2 linked regions of the Danio rerio genome follow. The protein of the gene in region 1 interacts with the protein of each later gene in a biochemical or structural test. Links are inferred from orthologs where the notes say so. Each region holds a gene or a part of one and is shown on either strand. Other genes may lie near its edges. The genes, in order: cdc27 and anapc4.

What was found.
Region 2: the proteins of cdc27 (region 1) and anapc4 form a complex in vitro, tested with the Homo sapiens proteins (2 studies listed by BioGRID). The link is inferred for Danio rerio from reciprocal best matches to the Homo sapiens genes CDC27 and ANAPC4.

What each region holds. Positions count from the first base shown.
Region 1 is NC_133178.1:20,781,737-20,791,434, forward strand, and holds part of cdc27 (cell division cycle protein 27 homolog), read left to right. Parts: intron 1-825; coding exon 826-941; intron 942-1,018; coding exon 1,019-1,118; intron 1,119-1,364; coding exon 1,365-1,569; intron 1,570-4,064; coding exon 4,065-4,237; intron 4,238-4,358; coding exon 4,359-4,511; intron 4,512-4,607; coding exon 4,608-4,816; intron 4,817-4,965; coding exon 4,966-5,083; intron 5,084-5,211; coding exon 5,212-5,340; intron 5,341-8,221; coding exon 8,222-8,296; intron 8,297-8,399; coding exon 8,400-8,565; intron 8,566-8,639; coding exon 8,640-8,725; 3' UTR 8,726-9,698. UniProt on the Homo sapiens protein: Component of the anaphase promoting complex/cyclosome (APC/C), a cell cycle-regulated E3 ubiquitin ligase that controls progression through mitosis and the G1 phase of the cell cycle.
Region 2 is NC_133195.1:26,090,071-26,100,434, reverse strand, and holds the start of anapc4 (anaphase-promoting complex subunit 4), read left to right. Parts: upstream 1-3,485; 5' UTR 3,486-3,642; exon of another isoform or gene 3,643-3,646; intron 3,647-3,900; 5' UTR 3,901-3,929; coding exon 3,930-4,037; intron 4,038-4,455; coding exon 4,456-4,561; intron 4,562-6,208; coding exon 6,209-6,341; intron 6,342-6,416; coding exon 6,417-6,491; intron 6,492-6,627; coding exon of another isoform or gene 6,628-6,654; intron 6,655-6,829; coding exon 6,830-6,874; intron 6,875-6,962; coding exon 6,963-7,047; intron 7,048-7,599; coding exon 7,600-7,707; intron 7,708-9,623; coding exon 9,624-9,707; intron 9,708-9,775; coding exon 9,776-9,862; intron 9,863-10,033; coding exon 10,034-10,098; intron 10,099-10,364. UniProt on the Homo sapiens protein: Component of the anaphase promoting complex/cyclosome (APC/C), a cell cycle-regulated E3 ubiquitin ligase that controls progression through mitosis and the G1 phase of the cell cycle.

The sequences.
Region 1 (9,698 bases):
ACAAGCATATGTTTTAATACATTTATAACGCAGTTCATGCTTTATTGTCATGCTTTAAAAAAAAAGCTAAAATAAAAACTGCTAAATTTCGCTATCTATAATCTCTAATAATAACTCTTGTACTGCGTATGTTTACATAGATGAATCTGGCCGCTATAATGCACAGTACAGTTATGATCTATTACCACATTATATCGTTATGATGACATAACATATGCCTTTAGTGATTTCCAGAAGATAAATACCAAAAAATAACGCAACTGGAAAAACTACAGCAGTCACAATCGTCTGATCTCATATAAAGCAAGAGATCGCAATGACGTATGATGACATGTGCAGGTGCTGTAGTGCTGTCCCGTTTCTTAGGGGTAAATCTTAAAGCCCTTCGCATTCACACCTGATTTCAAGGCCTAAGGGGAAGGGTAGAGGTAAAAAAATAGAATTGGGCTTGGGACAAAGTTTTAGATTTGATCTTATAAAGTATTCATTGTTGATGTGTGTTTTTTTTTTATTGTTATAAGCCTATGTGTTATAGAAAAGTGTAATTTAATAAACCGTTTGTAAACTGCTTTAGTCAAATTGCAGTGGCCATTTAAAGCTGATAATAAACTCTGAAGTCTCGCTTCCATCCCTACTAAATTGGCTTGTGAAGTACACGTAATGGCATGATTTTATATCTTATTTTTAACTGTTTTGGGTTGTCTGTAGAGGGCACTTTGTTTCTCTCTCTGTTTGTAATGCAGCTGTCAACATTCTGAATTCAATTTATGAGATCATGTAAATAATGTCTTGAAAATAAATTCAATAATTAAATTTTAATTTCAGGCTGTCAGTAGAATCAGAACAGTGGGGACGAAGTCAGTGTTTGCACAAAGTGGCAACAGCAGAGAGGTCATTCCAAACCCCTTTATCCAAACTCAGACTACTGCTCCACAGACCAGGTACATCACCACACATTTATACAGGCAGTTTATGGCTGTAGCGATGGCTTCTGATGATCTCTCTTTCTGGTTTTTAGTACTACACCGCAAGTGCTGAGCCAAACCATTGCTGCTCCCCCAAATGTGCAGCCACGGCGGAGCTCAAGACTCTTCACCAGTGCCAGCTCCACTGCCAAGGTAATCTTTTTACGCATACAAATTCTAACATGCACTTCTTAAAACCTTTTAAGGTACAGTTCACCACAAAATCATTATCATTGTTTGTTCCAATCCTGTGTACATTTATTCGTTCTGCTAAACACAAAGGAAGATATTTGTAAGCATGTCAGTCACCAAACAGATCTTGGGACCTTTGTTGATATCTCATAGGAAGACATTCACTCAAAGTCTTATGAATACATTATCAATGTTTAAACCAAACAGGAGAACAGTAAGAAGCTGAAAATGAAGTTCCCCACCAAGATTCCTAACCGAAAGACCAAAACGAAAACGGGTAAGGGAGGAATCACCCCATCTAATCTGAATGAGAGCATCGAGATCCTCAAGTTAGATTCATCCTTATCAGAGGGCAAAGGCAACATCAGTTCACCGCAGTTCCAGGCTTTTAATCTACAAAAGGCTGCTGCAGGTATCTGACGATTCTTCACCTTTTTTTTTTAAGGGGTTAAGTGAATTGCAACTAACAACGTATTGTTCATGCTGCTCACAATTACACGCAATGGAGACTGTTCTTTTGATTGAAAACTACTTAAACCTTAGAAAATTAAAAATGTGTAATCTACTGATCATATACCATAAAATACAAATTATATACTGAAAAAAATATACTGTTTGCAAACAGACTAAACTCAGTGATAAAACTCAGGGATGCAACGATTATAAATTTTAGTTGTAAGATTATAGTCTAAGCAATAATCACGATTATACATTCAGTAATTTCAAAACACACATTTCTCTTTGGACTTAAAAAGAAGTGAAAGTGAAATTTTAAACTGAAAATAAATGACAGAACAATGAATAAGTAAATAAGAACAAATGTAGTCAGAGGCTGCTAAACCCCTGTCTGAAAGGCACTTTTGATCAACTATATTATGAACATGTTTCGAATTTATTATTATTTTTTTTCTGGAGTAGAATATTTATATTCCATACAAAATATGAAGCTAAATGGTTCTTGTCATGTGACTTGTGGTGCGCTCACGCAATTCTTTCACAGGGCTCGAAATTAACCTTTTTTTATTGGTAGCAGCGGTGCTCCTAACTTCAGAAATTTAGGCGCACCAGGCAAAATTTAGGAGCACCTACCAACAATTATGAGCACCGTTACTATTATATTAAATAAGTTTTGTATTAACAAATGTATTGCATTTGAAATGAACTATAATCAAAACTAACAAACGAAAAACAATATGCATGAGCCCACTGGCTCTGCACGCACTGCTTGATGTGAATGGGATGAACAGAGTTAACAATAATAACTTTGCTGTTCTCATGGGTGGTTTCTGACATTGCACACATGATTTTAACATATAACTAATTTGCATACGTCATCTTAATAGCAATAACGGTCTTTCGATGAGATGCAGTAGTTTAATCTCAGTGAATGCATGCTCTTTTGCGATGGTGAATGCGGTACCAGTCGCACGACTGACAGCATTGTGAGGATTTAATGGATGAAACAACGTTAGAAGATCTCGTGCTTAAAATGTGTTGATGTGGCAAACACGGTTACCTGAAAACTGTCCAACCAGCTTTACAGTGAATGCTTTCATCATTTTCATAGCGGACTTTAACCCACTGGAAGTCTTGTATCCACTCTTAGAAAAAGTATAAATAGTGGATTAACATTCACTCCATGATCACTAATCAGATGTGCCATTATTTGTAAGTTCAGGTGATTTCTAAAACAAAATCTCTCAGTGTTATTTTTATTGTCTCTTATCCAGACCTTTATGCTTTCGTGGCTGTAGCTCCCGGTCATCTGAATTGAGTGATTGACAGCTGATATTAACCAATCCATTCGTGTTGTGTTTTAGAGCAGGAGGCCAATCAGAAGAGCTTAAAGACGGGGCAAGCATTGTGGGATTTGTTTACTGCAGCAAGTTCACATGTCAACTGTTTTAAACTTTTCTTGAGCGCTGTGTTTGGTGCAAAGATGCCTTCTGCATGAATTTTCTTAAATACGTGCATGCGATTAACATTTTGCAGTGAAAACTGGTCGCACGGCAACAATTTATGCACTCGCCCAAATGCTACAAAATATATATTTGAAGTCGCATCGATAAAATTTTGGGCCCATATGAGACCAATTTCAAGCCCTGTTTCAACTATGTGCGCCTGAAAAGCTTGAGCGCGTTGTGTGCACGTCACTCCCAATATGCTCGCAAAAAAAAGAAATATCGAACTTTAGCACACAAAAGATGCGACATGTGAACGGCCCTTAGTTAATATCCTCAGCCATAGCTAATCCATTGTACGTGCATATTAGCCATTGTGTACAAGCTCTGAACTTTAAACAAGCGCACAGTTGCAGGAACGTTTAGTTGCACCAGTTTTGTTCTTTGCAGAAACACGATGTTGAGAAACTTATGTTTAATTAACCGTGACAAATTAAAGTGGTTAATAGTGAAAATGGTTAATCGTTGTATCCCTACTTGCGTTTGGTGCTTTCATTTCTATAACAAATTAAACAAAATAAAATTACATGGTGAGAACACTGTTTTTTTTTTTTTTTTTTTTTTTTTTTTTAAAGCATATTATCATAGTGATCCATGACGTTACAGGGTAATTAAAACAAAATTGTGGTGATAAGAAGAGTATTTGAGACTATATACTTTCTTACTTTGATTATAGTTTGAATTATTCCCATTTATTTGTAGAACAACTTTACAGTACAAAACTAAACATGCTGCATTATCCTGAACATTATAAGCATTTCATTGTCGTAGAGACTTATGTATAAAGTTGAAAGTACATTATTTATATTATTAATTCATGCTTTTTTGTGTTAGATTTTGAGCTACTACTTAATTTTCTCTTTGGGCTACTTAATTTTTCTCTTTTCTCTTGTATTTGAGCAACACCCTGAAGCAGGTTGCTGATTTTGTTTGCGGTTTTCTTTAGACGGGCTGATGACCCTGATGCGGGATATTGGGAGGGGATATCTTGCTCTCTGCTCTTATAACTGCCGAGAGGCCATTAACATCTTGAGTCAGCTACCTTCACACCATTACAACACGGGCTGGGTGCTGGGTCAGATCGGGCGAGCACACTTTGAACTGGCTGAATACATGCAGGTGAGTCTGCGTTGCAGAAATGAGGTGAAATCAATTACCAAAGGCATTCAAATTATAATGGCAAGTAGTGGAAAATGTTTTTGTTTGTTCTCACAGAAGATATTTTTGTCTGTTTAATTAGGCGGAGAGGATTTTTTCAGAAGTCCGACGTATAGAGAGCTATCGAGTAGAGGGTATGGACATCTACTCAACAACACTTTGGCATTTACAAAAGGATGTGGCACTTTCTGCCCTATCTAAAGACCTCACTGACATGGACAAAAACTCACCTGAGGTAAGTTTATCAAGGCAGTAATGCAATTATTAGTTGGAATATTATTCAGTTCAGTAAATCAGCTGCTTATCTTTTTGTTTTTCCACCTCTTTACAGCCCTGGTGTGTAGTTGGTAACTGTTTCAGCTTACAGCGGGAGCATGACATCGCCATTAAGTTCTTCACACGGGCCATCCAGGTGGACCCCAGCTTTGCTTACGCTTATACACTATTAGGGCATGAACTGGTTCTCACAGAGGAGCTGGAGAAAGCCCTGGGTTGCTTCCGCAATGCTATACGCCTCAATAAACGTCACTACAATGCCTGGTATGTTTGTTACTTTACATGACACCAAAAAAAAACCATTAAATAAGTCGTTCACTCACAATCATTTTACTTATCCAGTTGTCTGACAGATAAGTACCATCTGCTATTTCAGAAGCAAAAAGACTTCATCTTTCTGTCTCTTACCACAGGTATGGCTTGGGAATGATTTATTATAAGCAGGAGAAGTTTAATCTAGCCGAGATTCATTTCAAGAAAGCTTTTAGCATCAATCCTCAGAGCTCTGTGCTACTCTGTCATATCGGAGTGGTGAGTAAATCAGCCTTTATGTACTTTTTGGTTATGCATAAAACATAACATGATAATCACTGTTTAAAATTTCTGATAGGATTTTTGCTGTGCTGCATCTTCATATTGTTTCTCATGTACTCTGTCAGGTTCAACATGCTTTGAAGAAATCAGACCATGCACTGGAGACCCTTAACAGAGCCATTAGCATCGACCCTAAGAATCCGCTATGCAAATTCCATAGGGCCTCAATTCTGTTTGCCAATGAAAAGTACAAGGTACTGCTCTACTTGTACTATAATGTTAGGTGCAGTGAGTGATTTCTGAGAAACTCTGTTATATTTGAAATCTGACATCAAAGCAAAAATACACCGCCCCTTAATACTTAAACATGCAAAACAACAGGCAACCGCTACTGCAGAGTGAACCATATGCAGTTTAATAGTTCTTTACGATTGTTGCTCGTCAATCTATTCACCTTATTCTACGTGTATGAGCGAGCACAGCCGTTTGAATCTTTTTGGCTGGAGACTGCTGGTCTCATTCACTTCCATTCATTTTTGTGACATTAAAAACCGTTCTTTCTTCTGCTTGATGTTGCAAACTGATCTTTTTTTGTTTTACTATTCTGCTTCGTCCGTGTTGTCATGAACATACTTGCTTATAGAGGACCGTTTATTTGCCGTTTATTATTCCTAGTCATTTCTCCGATAGACGACTGAATCAGAAGTTCTTAAACAATCGCAAAAACGAGTGCACTATCACATTTAAGAATAGGGTCAATATCAGGGGTGCTCAAACGTTTCCTATGCATGGCCAAAACCAAACATAATTGACCCTTCGCTAAGCCCTGCCCAATAACTGCCACCCACCAATCGTGGCTTAGCAACTGTAGCTACGCGCAGGGGCTCTGTCAAGTTTTCGAGCGAGTGCATATGGATTGTGCAAATCTGATACCCGGTATCCTTAGAGTTTGGACTGGGCGGTGGAATTTTTCCCCTTTTCAAAACCTAAAATCCAAAAGGAGAAATACTAGCGTGGATCAAGCAGTGTGAGGGGCACTAAAAGAGCAGAGCTAAGTTGATTTTGTTTTGATATTCCTGACACATTCAGTGACAGACAGACGGCAATAACTCACAAACCTCTTACCCTAAACAGAACTAAACTGTGTTTCCTACAAAAACACAAAGCTGGTTATGTTTCACAGCTTTCTTATTCCTTTTTTTTTTTTGCTCTATTGTGAGTAATGCTCCGTTTAAGCCTTCGCCATAACGTTAGTAACTTAGTCATAATAGCGAATAAGTCATAATGACAAGAGTTATTGATTCGGAAAATACAAATCTGCGAATCTGTTGCTAACTTTACTGAACGTCATATTTCCATCTGTTTCAAGCTATGAATATTAGAAATGACAAATTAGCAGAACAAAACCGAGATATGATCACAAACTGAGCAGCAGATCAATATACTTTACCCGCAGCTGCTGTTTTTCAGTCATTTATAAAGAGCACACAAACATACTGACAGTAATAGGTAACTTATTGTTATGAGTCAATGATGCTAATATTCGACACAAATCCATCAGTTTCCCTTTCTGGCTGTTCTTTCTATGAATGAACTATGTAAAAGCACTGTCATGCATGTTTCTTCATCGGTTAGTAACTCCATTTCATTGCACAACAATTAATCCATCAGGCTTTTTGGCTAAAAATAGAGAAATCACGGTTTAATTTGTTATTATTAGATTATTTTTAGATTTCCCCTCTCCTGCTGAGCATGAGCTAAGCTGTTAAATGGTCAGCGTATGAGGTGGCTAGGCTAAGCTAGCTTCAATTTTAATTGATTTATTCTCTAATCGGTTGCCTATTATGTGGTGAATATACCCCTGTAATGCATACTGCAGTCCTTTATTGTCTGGCTTTCTCGGATATCTCACCTGTTCGCCAAAAATAACATTATACCCCTGGCAATGATTGACACCGGCGCACACATTGAAAAAGCTGTGCCAGGCACGAAAGCTTGACAGGCGTAGCAACAGTAACTAAGGAGGGGGGGCTTAGCGAAGGGTCCATTGAGAGCTGTGGGCGGAAGGTCAATCTAGCAAACTCTATTACAAAGTTGCCATAGGTAATTTTCTTTTTTTTTTATGTATATTTATAATACTTATAGATGGAAATTACTTAATCATGTATAATCATATGAGGTTAACTATTGCATTATAATTTTGTATATTTTATAATTAACGTATCCCTATGAAAAGAAACTATTCCATTTACAACACCATGGCTTTCAGTGCACATTTAAATACTCTGACCCATTCACAACATTCAATTGAAACATTTAATTCAAGCTTGTTTTTTTGTAGCATCACAATAAAACAAACAAAAGCTTATATTAAATTACAAAAGACAATCTCTATTAAAGGCAATTCCTCCTCCAACCCTTAATTTGGGATGGCGGGCCAAATCAAAGGTTATCATGGGCCAACTTTTGCAGATCCTAGTTTGGGCATCACTGGTCTATATGAATAGTTAACCAGCTTTAAGTCATGATACACTGTGGGATCTCAGTTGCTAAACAGTTGCCACAAACTCCAATACTTTCAAGACCCCCTTGTCTTCAAAAGAAAATTGAGAAAAAAAACAAATGTTTTGGAAAAAAAAATTTCACTTTGATTGGTTATTGATTTTACAATCACCATAGGAGAAGCCACACTGCAGACATGTGCTTAAACTTTGACACTCCCACAGTTTTATCAATCACTATTATTGGGCTGGTGAAAGTCAAACCACAGTGCAGATTTAGTCTAACTATAAGTATGCATTCTCAGTTTCGAGTGTTAGTTTTGGACTGTTGCTTTGATTTGGTCATCTAAGAAATTGTCCTGTTACTGTAGCCAATATTAAAGCTCCTACTTGGTCTCATCACTCATTTCCAGTGCACTGTTTAAACAGCCATGGCTTTATACAGACAAGCTGCTTTTTTATGTATTTATTTTTTTTCAGTACACGCAAAACAGACAGCAAACTACTATTCACAAAATGGGCTTGGTGTTGTCGAAATGTTCTAGTTTCTCAGAAATTGCTCTTTGCTCTTTTAACATGTTGACTAACACTATAAATAGTTTGAAAAGTTAAATGACCAGTCTATTCTTTACAGGCGGCTCTGCAGGAGCTTGAAGAGCTGAAACAAATAGTGCCCAAAGAGTCCCTTGTTTACTTCTTAATAGGAAAGGTACACCTACAGCAAAACGGCTTACTTGATTTCATTTAACATCTTGTAACCGCTAATGTCCCTGTTTGGAAACTCCTGAATCAAATGTTCGTCATCTCTATAGGTCTATAAGAAGCTTGGCCAGACTCATCTGGCATTAATGAACTTTTCCTGGGCCATGGACTTGGACCCCAAAGGGGCCAATAATCAGATCAAAGAGGCCATAGATAAGCGATACCTCCCAGATGATGATGAGCCTGTCACTCCTGATGACTATCCCTACTGCTCAAGTAAGTCTCCAGCTCAGTGAGTCATTAATGCAGGGCTGTGTGCTCGGTGTAATGCTGTTTGTTGGTCTCTGCAGCGGAGGTGGAGGAATCACAGGAGAGCAGTATGACGGACGCTGACGACACTCAGCTCCACACGACGGAGAGCGACGAGGTTCTCTAGCCCCCTGACACCACTCTGGACTTTCAAATAATGCCAATTTGGGGGCTATTCGAAGACTCCAGCTCAAAAAAAAAACAGGAGGAAGAAGAAAAAAGGAAAACAAACTGCTGCTAATAACAGTACCTCCTCATTTTTGTCATTTCATTTTCTTCATTCGTTCTTGCCTTTTTTCCCACCCTCCCCCACCTCTTGTCGTCATGCCTTAGAGGTCTCTCATCGGTCTGATCTTCTGGTCCTGTCTCATCTCCTATCACAACTGGCAGGTGTCCTTTTATCACAGACACAGTCGCTTGAACAATTCAAGTTCTGCCTGAGCTCAAATTGCCCAGATTTGCCCATGACTCCACCGTCTTCTCAACAGGCTAATTGACTTACTTAACTTCACACAGCTCCACAGACTTTCATGGATGTACCTGTCTTAATGCTTAGGCATTTCATGTTATTTTATCGACATTTACCCTGAATAAAGACTTGTGCAAGAGTTGGTAGTCCTTTAATTCCTCTCCCCTCCCTGTCACATCTTGAAAGTGCCGGGAGAGAAGAAAAAAGCACTTTCTGCCCACATCAAAAGTTTGGCATGAGATTCATCTGCTAATCTTTCAGATTGCCATCTGTTAGATGGGAAAAAAAAACAAAGTTAACTGTAGAAACAGCTAGTTCTGAATGATATGGATTGATCTGGATTTTGTTTGAGCAATTGTCAAATACTGTTAGTGTTAAACTGAACAATTTGCCTCACACTCATGTTTCGCTCTAAGTGATGTCAACTTTCAAACACCTGAATCATATTTGATTATTATTTTGCCCAGCTGCAAGACATCGATCAGAGAATTTTGTTTAAATTGTTATCTTTACTGTGAAACCACTCTAGAGTGTCCAAATGAATTACCCTATTGTATGGCACAGTGACCAGTGGTCAGACTTCATGAGACAATATACTGAAATGTTGGTGCTGTTGAGGACAATACTGATG
Region 2 (10,364 bases), on another chromosome or scaffold:
GGTGTGTAGCATCCATGTTCAGCCCACACCACATCAAAGACACACATACATCATTTTCATATCCACAATGGCATGTAAATGTATTTTGCAGACATACACTTTATTGTTTGGTTCAAAACAACCACCAAATCACTGTCTGACAACTGTGCAAACGTATGGCAGCAAGTTGGAGCAAAGATAACATACCAAATATAACAGCAAATTTCATTTAATTAAAGGGATAGTTCACCATTTACACATGCTCAAGGAGTTCTAATGAATTTTATTTTTGTCTGTTGAACACAAAACAAGTTATTCTGAAGAATGTTGGAAACCAGCAGCTTTTGGCATCCACAGTAGAAACAAAAAATACTCAGGAAGTCAATGGCTGCTGCTTTCCAACATTCTTCAATATATCTTCTTTTGGGTTCAACAACCAGCTAATCAAGGTATACTATAAACTTCCTGGCAGGTGTGTTGAAGCAAGTTGGAGATAAGTTTGAACAACCATGTTATTAAAGGCAAATAAATATTTCCTCATCATTTGCTCACCCACCCAGGTTCCAAATCTTAAAATAAAAAAATGTTGAAAACTAGCCATTGAAATCCATAGTAAGTTTGTGTTCAACAGCAGAAAGAAGAAAAACAAAAGTTTTTGGTGAACTGTCTCTTTAAGCATACACTGTTTATGTAGTAACATCTGTCCAAGAAACGTACTAGTCTGCTTGATCACTTAAATTTTACCTTTTTTATGCATTTTTTATGCCATTTTATTTTAAATATTCTGATTTAAATAATCATTTATAGACTTAGACACGATACTTTTAGAACCAACATGTATTAGTCATCAAAGACCTTAATTTAACCTCATATCAATAGCTCAGCCACATTAAAACACCCTGCCATTAAAAGAGTACTTTATATAGGAATGAGGACACAACAAACTGTAATGCCCTGCTACAAGGTAAGCTTAGAAGCTATGTGCATTGCTAGACTATTACCATCACTTACTCTCTATATTTGATAATATAGCAAGATTAGTTATTAGCTATGGATGTGTGTCACTCTCTGGCTGACTATCATGGAAATTTATGTTGTACACGTTGACTGGAAATATCTGCTGATTTTTGCATTGAGTCAAAAAGCATGTCAAAATCAGGCTTCTCAGAAATGCGAGAGAGTAAACACATAGATACTCAGTATGACCAGTTCATATGTCATCAATAGCAGCTCACTTCTTTGATTAACTACATCAGAAGTGAATCATATTGCAATTCACCGAATGATATCCCAGACCACCTTTGGGTGAACTCTGATTTGGGTTCAGGAAACAGCGTGCGCATTATCAAACAATCCAAAGTCAGATGTTAAACAAGCTGGTGTTAAAGAGTGCTAGTGTAAAAGTCCTGACCAAAAATGGAAATACCTTTGGTCCTGGTTGGCTGTTTCCACTGTACAGGCTGAGTCTAAAGCTGCAAAACAAATACAAACAGCTTATATGATGTATATTTTTTTCGACAGGACTAACTGAACATCCGAAATGATGCTAGGTTAAATGTGCTTGTTGTATGTGCAAACAGGTAATGATATTTTATAGCTTACATTGCAACTTTAGCAAGAAGAGAACAGGTATGTTCGCATTCTGTTGTGACATCATGTCCTGTTTTGGGTTTGTACAGGTTTGTGGTCCATTCTATGATTAAAGTTCAATCAAAGTCCACCAAAGTTTGTTTGGTGCTCAGGATTCAGATGGCAAAACCAAACCTGCCAAGTGTGAATAGTGTTAATGAAACATAAGCTCCATTTCAAAACAGCAACCAGGACATTAATTGTGATTTTTCTAAGTGTTTCATGAAAGAAATTTATACAGGTTTGGAAATGAATTAGATACACAATTTTTGTCTGTGTGTGTGAAGTTTTAGTCTTTAACTTTGGTTTAAGAGAGGTGTTTAAGACGAAGCACAGATGCTGACCGTGAGTGGCGCAGTAGCTGTCTATTTCAGGATACTTATCACATTCACTTCATAACACTGACAGCAAAGAGCTATTCTTGTTTCTTAACAATCATGCACTGATTACGGCTGAGTCTCAATGACAGAAAGGAGATCTGTCACTCGAAGGTCTGTCATAGTGTAAGCGTCCAGACCACTGGCTCATTCAGAGAATTATTCCAGTGTCTCAGTGAGCAGAATGAGGGATTTTATTTGTATTTGATACAGTCTCATTATTCTGAAATGCAGTAGGACTGTTTGGCACTGAAAATTATCCTAATGAAATTAATAAAAAATGATTTCATGAAAACATGATACTATAATGTTGGGCATAGTTAGAACAAAACAAAACAAAATATTCTGCCCACATACAATAACATAAAACCTTGTTTTTTTGTTTCTTTGGTTAAATAAAGTACGTAAAACCAATCAAAACCACAAAAAAGCGGCAACATTTACCTAAATTCCTTACTGTATTTTGATTAAAGAAGCAACATAATGTTGTGCATATTCATGTAAAATATCTAGTATAATAACTTCTTTTTTTATTAAAAAGTATAGTATTGAGCACAATAAGCAGACTATTTTGCAAGTATGTTTGGTTTATTTTATACTACTGTTAATGCGTAGCTTTATAAGTATTTTGTGTATATACAATCTGCATTGACAACAAAAATTACAGACGTTTGTACATTCAAAAACTCAAGTTATAAGCAAAATCATCAGAATAATAACACCTTAAAAATATTAAATTATAATAAAGGAACGGTTCTAAATCCAAACACAAAACACCTTTCCCCTCCATTTTCAATCTTGTGTAAGACTTTTCACATATTCTCTCAATCAGGATTAATCCCATTTCAGTAATGATGTGTCAATACAACACAACGCAAATTGGGTTAACCTTATCAATTTGCACCTGTGTCATTTTGCCTAATAACCTTATTCTTCAAGGGTTCATGGAGCCTACTAGTTTACCCAGAAAACAACCAAACTGCATTAGTTAATACTTTATATAATGTGTTTGTTTAACATAAAAAGTAAAAAATAATATAATAAGTTTGCTGCTAGTCATTCCCAGACAGTCTTTTTGTCAATTACATTTTAGATTCAAATTATCATAATTAATTTTAATTCTGAATATTTATCATGGTCTGCAAATAATTCTAGGGCATAAGATTAACCGTGTCATTGTGTGTGTGTTTGTTAAACAACATTGTTACAGAAACGTATTTTAAGTGGGTTATTTTCTAAATATCAAATGAACAAACGTGCCTGACAAAAAACAAATCTTTCAAACATGCTCTTAACTTTGCATTCTTACCAATAATATTTTCTTGAAAATCCCGGTAATTCTAAAAACCTTCTCCGAAACATAACAATAATATTGCGATTAACCGGGTGGTTGAGGGATTTTGTCATATTTACCTTTTTTCTGGTATAAAAGTCATTTCGCGTTTTTAAAATGCACTTGTCATCTTGCGCTTTCCGTAGTCACAATTTCATTGGCGGGTCAGAGTCATGTTGTACTGCTACACACTATGATGAGTTTTCTGAATATCAATCTTTTTACAGTACAAATGAGAATATTATGATGCATTAAATCGCTTTCTCCAAACGTTTCAAACGAAGAATTGGATTGTGGAGTTTATTTTCATCCGTCATTTGTTTAGTAAGTAAGTGTAGTCTTAATATTAGGCTAATGTTGCGAAGCATCACATGTTTAACGTTAGCAGCCACTTAAGTTAAAATTTTGTTTATTTATTTAGTCTTTTGATGCCTGAAGGATTTCAGTTTACTACTTTGTAATCTGCGTTTAATATAACTACTGTCAAAGACGTCCAGCAGCAGCCGCAGATGACAGCAGTAACTTAGTCATGAGTGAACGGTATTGATACTGTCTGTACTATGGTAACTAACTTATTATTAGACTATTTGTCCATTCAACAGGATTCAGCAATGCCTGCGTTTCGGCAGGTTGGGGAGAAACAGCTCCCAAACCCTATTCTGTACATGGCCTGGTGTCCTAAAAGAGATCTGATCGCTTTGGCCAACACTACAGGAGAGGTTGGTCTTGCATAACTGTTACACACAAAGTTGGCTTTATATTCACACATTCTGACTTGCTTCTTATTATATAATTTCAGTAAAGTATTCTTTGCAAATTCGAAATGACATTATCAAATTGGCATATGCTAAAATCATAATCATATTAACAGCCAATGACCGTTGAAGTACAACATTGTTCAGACTCAAATAATTTGTGCTAATGTGGTTTTGAAGTTATGCAGATGTGTGATTTCAGACCGAAAGTTGAAATTGGCATGGTAAACAGTATAGGGGCTGTTAAAATCAACGAATTTGCGAATATATAAAGCAACTTTACCTCAAACATACACACTCATATCTGTCTTCAGTTAGAGCTGATTGTTATTGTCTGTAGGTCATTGTCATTTGACTTCATTGGACTGTTCTGTCATTACAGCTTCTTCTGCATCGGCTTGCCAACTTTCATCGGGTGTGGAGTTTACCTCCTAATGAGAACACAGGAAAAGAGATCACATCACTGGCCTGGAGACCCGATGGGAAAGGTAAACAAATACAGAATTTCAGTGGCTTATTACAGTGGACACATCAGGGTTATGATAGTTAGTGTAACTCATAAAAGTAAAACAAACCTTACTTGTAATAAATGTTGACGGAAAGTCGTTTAACCCTGTTTTCCAATTATAAAAAGAACACAATCAAACATAGGGAAGGAATAAATTTTAGAAGCTGTAATAGTTGTATAATTGTATTAAAATAACAATGTAAAAAAAACATTTACTTTTGGATTACTTTAATGTTTTGTCTTCATTTTGAACACACTAGTTTGTAGCACACAATGTTCAGGTCCTAGGTTTCACACAAATTTGACACTGTTTATATTGCTAATTTTTCTTACATTTTACAAATATTTTAGCAGTGTTATTAGATTTTTTTTGTTATTTGTGCTATTGTTTATTGTTACTAATAAATGCACTTGTCAAAAATTAGTCAAAACATTCTGATGCTGAATCAGTTACAGATATGACAAATAAAAAACAACTTTAAAAAATATTGAACTGCGGTATTTTAGAGAGAGTTGCATCTCTGTTGCATCTCGCCGGGTTATTGCTTTTTCCTACTCTATTAGCAAGACAAGCCATTTTTGTCCGATGGAAACAGGTACTACCTCAATCACATGACATGACTGAGAAATCTTTAGCTGCATAAAACAAATGCTTAAGAAGTTAAGATGTCTCAAATCTTTTTACAAGACCTGGAACCCTGTTTTAGACTACATCAAATGGCTTTCCCGGTTTATATCAGCTCTAATACACAGTAAATAACCAGAAAGAGGAAATACTGACTCCTTCATGCAAACTTTTCTTCTTCTTTTTTACTCTTTTATTGTAAACTTGCTCAATTATTATAATTTTATTTTATTACATTTTATTTATATATATTTTTTAATTTATGTATTTTTTCACAAAGACTATAGGATACACAAAACTTATTACTTGTTCATTTTTAAATGTGGAAAAGTGTAAAGGTTCATTGAGCTGAATGCATTAAATAGTCAGTATAAAAAAAGGTTGAAGATAAACTTGTGCTAACAATCTAGCCTTTATAACCAAATTATTTAACAAAAGATGATTACTGCAGTAAAATATTTGTAGTTTTTTAATAAGCATGATATATACAAGATAGAGAGGGTATGAAAAGTTAATTTGTCCAGTAATAAACACCAAACACACGTGGTTGTGGTTGAGGAATTTTTCCTCTGTTGTATTGTTAAACACCAATAAAATATATTGAACTGCTTTTGTAACAGAAAAAAAGATCTACATTCTGACTTATTTAAGCTACCATTGTCATTTTAATTGAAGTAAAGTTGGTTTTATTTTCGCAAATTTGTACTTTCACCTTAATAATATAATTTTCGAAAGGTTTTCTTTGCAAATTCTAAAAAGGCAAATTATATTAGCAGCCAGTGACTATCAAAGTAAAACGTTGTTCACAGTCAAATAAATAGTGCTAATGTTGTTTTGAATTTCATTTGAATTTGTTTATTTCAGACTACATATTCAAAGCAGCATGCTAAATGATATAGGGACAATGTCACAAGTTGACACTGTAATGAATTTATGAGTGTAAAACCAACTCTACCTCAATGTCATGTTACGTGATTATCCACATTGGATCGTTGTGTGCAGTTCTAGCGTTCAGTGTGGGCGACACAAAGCAGGTGGTCCTGTGTGATGCAGAAAAGGCTGAAATCCTCCATCTGTTCCCTGTGGAATATCCAGCATCCTGCATGCACTGGATGGAGGTGCAAGATGACAGCAGGTGTGATTTTTGACATGGTATTGTTTTCTTTCTGCATTGATTCCATAGGTTGATTGGTTTTATATTTTCCTCTAGCACATTGACCTCATTCAGCGAGTCTGAGGATGAGTCAAGCCGTTTTCTTCCAAAGTTACCCACTTTACCTAAAAGGTGAGACTCTGAGCACAAGATTTGTCCACTAGAGAGCTGATTGAGAAATGCTTGGGTCACTCATTTGTTTTTGTTTTTTATGTTTAAATGTTTTTTATGGCTTTTCCATTTTCCTTTGTGCCATGTTTCTGTTCAGCTACAGCACCACATCAAAGATATTTAGGTAAGAAGACACTTAATGTGCTTAAATGCTGATTATTTGCTATTTCTTTAGCTTACTCTTTTTTTATTCACTTTTATTTTGAAATGGTCATCTGCATGTGGCTTGTGCATATATGACTGTGTGTGTGCGTGCGTACGCTCTGGTTTTTTCTTATGTGACGTTTTCTCCCTCACAGTGAAGAAAAATCAGAAGAAGTGACAAACCTTTTAGGGGAAGTGAGGTCAGTTTTGCATGTATTTGAGCTGAATGATTGTAGGCTTTGGACTCTGCTTATGTTGCATTGTGATCGTTGATGCTTTGTTTTGCAGACTCAATATCCTGGTTGTTGGAGGACCATCTGGATTTGTTGAGCTGTATGCTTACGGCCTGTATAAGATTGCAACATTAAGTGGGGTAAGTTATAAATAAAAACTTGAACATGTTTTTTTCTTTGCAAATGCTTATGTTTAAGTTTATTATTAGTGTTAAAAATAATAAATAAGTGGTAAAAGATAGGTTATTTTTAAAAATGATTGAAAAACAATTCCAGAAATGCTAACTTAAATGTTTTAATAATTGTGAGTCTATAGCTTGCATTTCTGAAAGAACAGAAGTCAGAGTGCTGATGGGAAAAAAGCCAGAATTTTAACATCTTTATTTTGCAAGTTTAATTTGTTTTTAATTTAACTTGTAATTCAGTTTTTTTTTTCAGAATTATAAGGTAAAAGCTTTTTTTTTTTTAATTGCATGAAAAGAAATACAGAACTTGAATATTTGTAAATAAATTGAAAAGAACCAAATACATGGATTTCTTTAATCCAGTAGTGAAAACATGTTTCTGTAGGGTATAGAGTTTATAACTAGCTGTACAAGCAATCAATATTTTTAAATCTAGATAGTTATGTAAACAAGTTGTTTATGTAGAATAATGACATCATTTATTATTTATGTTTATTTTTTTCTCAGATCTTAGGGACGTGCCGTAGTCTTGGACTGTCTAGTGACCTCAAGTCTCTCTCTGTTATTACAGAGATTAGATCCACAGACGACAACCCTGAGATTCGTTACATACAGGTGAAAGCTTTTAATGTGTGTGTGTGTGTGTGTGTGTGTGTGTGTGTGTGTGTGTGTGTGTGTGTGTGTGTGTGTGTGTGTGTGTGTGTGTGTGTGTGTGTAGTTGAAGTCAGAATTATTAGCCCCCCTCTCAATTTATTTTTTTATTAGAGCAAGGAAATTTTCACAGTATGTCTGATAATATTTTTTTCTTCTGGTGAAAGTCTTATTTGTTTTATCTCGGCTAGAAACAAGCACTTTAAATTTAAAAAAAAAAATCATTTTAGGGTCAAAATTACTATACCCCTTTAAGCTATTTTTTTTTCAATAGTCTACAAAACAAACCATCATTATACAATAACTTGCCTAATGTGCCTAGTTAACCTAATTAATCTAGTTAAGCCTTTAAATGTCACTTTAAGCTGTACAGAATATATATATATAAGTGGAGGGCCGTTATCGGCATAACCGTGCTTCGTTAACGCAAGACTCTTATAGGGCGATCAAAAAAATATCACCGTTAATCTATTCTCAAAGTTGGGTTGGGAGCTGGGTCTGTTCTACGCAAGCTATGATGACATTCATCAAACATGACGTGCTAACATGAATGCAGTTCACTAGAGTGAATCTGATTAATGTTAGCTCCACATCTAGCTATCAGGCACCGGTAGAGTTTATGCGTTCGAGTAAAACATACAAATAAAATAGAGCGGTTGCTTTTCAACATGAATGACGCTGAATGTAAGTCAAACCGGTGAGCCGTCTGACAATAAAAAGTCCCCTTCTGGATCAAATCATTAGGATGCCCTTCTAAATCTTTCACTTACTACGCTTGCATTTATCTTAATAGACAATGATATAATTAAGGTGTTTACGTGAAGTGCTTTCATGTAAGAGTTTCCTGTAATTTTGGGTGACTTTAACTGCAATTTGGCAGTTTCACATTCACTCATGAACATTTCCCTGTGCATACTCCACGTCTTAATTTAATTTCTGTTTAGTTCTATTATGACTTTAGTCGGATTAAGGTAATCAAAATTCTGAATGCCTTCAGCAGAATTTAAATGAGCCATTTTAATCTAGATTAATTCCAAGATTGCAGTGATCAACTAGATTAATCTAGATATAAAAAATTAAGATTAATCTAGATATAAAAAAAAAAACATCTATGTCCATGTCCACCTACAGTTGATGTCAGAATTATTAGCCCCCATGTTTATTTTTTCCCCTACATTCTGTTTAACGTAGAGAAGATTTTTTTTAACACATTTTTAAACATAATAGTTTTAATATCTCATCTCTAATGACTGATTTTTTTTTTCTTTGCCATGATGACACTAAATAATATTTTACTAGATATTTTTCGAGACAATTCTATACAGCTTAAAGTGCCATGTAAAGGCTTAACTAGGTTAATTAGGTTAAATAGACAGGTTAGGGTAATTAGGCAAGTTATTGTATAATGATGATTTGTTCTATAGACTATCTAAAAATATGTATAGATTAAAGGGGCTAATAATAATTTTGACCTTAATGTTTTTTAGTTTTTTTAACTTTCTTTATTCTAGCCGAAATAAAACAAATAAGACTTTCTCCTGAAGAAAAAATATTATCAGACGTACTGTGAAAATTTCCTTGCTCTGTTAAACATCATTTGGGAAATATTAAAAAAGAAAAAAAATTCAAAGGGGGGCTAATAATTCTGTCTTCAACTGTATATCAAAAGAGGACGTCTCATCACTGACCCATATACAAAATATATAATATTTATATAGCCCTTACAAGTATTATATATTTATTTTTACAAATAAAATGAATAGATTAATAAATACCATATTGACCGTTATTACCTGCTCTATATATTGATAATTTGACAAATTCACATGTATTAAAACAGCAAATAGTGTATTCTGATACTGTGATTGATTGTATTGTAGCTGGACACTGGGCTGCTGTCTTCATGTCTGCCCGAACTGACCAAGATGGCACGCAAGTTCACACATATCTCAACACTGCTACAGGTGACTGTCTTCTTATAATCTTCTGTTCTCGCGCAGATAGTATGTTTCATTCTCTTTTGTCTTTTTAGTATCTGCGTGTCTCTCTCACCTGCATGTGTGAAGCATGGGAGGAAATTCTTATGCAGATGGACCTCCGCCTCACTAAGTTTGTCCAGGTCAGTTCAAAACAAACAAGCAGTTATAAGACACCACTGGCATTCATTAGACATTTAAACCACAGTTGATTATTGCAATAATGGACTGATCCACTGAAGCTATCCTAACTGGCTTTGATTTGTTTATTAAAACTTTTAGAACAGTTGATGAGTTGCAGTGTTGTTTTACAGGAAAAAAACACAAGCACTCAGGTTCAGGATGAGTTTTTGGAGCTGCTGTTATGGGGCCATGCAAGGTAAACAATTTATAGATGAAATAGATGAAATGTTCATTCATGAGTTAAAGTGAAACTGCCGAACTGCAGTTAAAGTCAGGCATCCTGCTGATTTCATTCAGAAGGGCACTTTTTGTCAGACGGCTCACCGGTCAGGTATACATATCAAGGTGAAAGTCATCATAGCTTGCGTAGAATAGACCCAGCTCCCAAACCAACTTTGAGAGTACATTCACGGCAATATTTTTTTGTTGCGCGATAAGAGTCTCGTGTTAGCGCAGCACGTA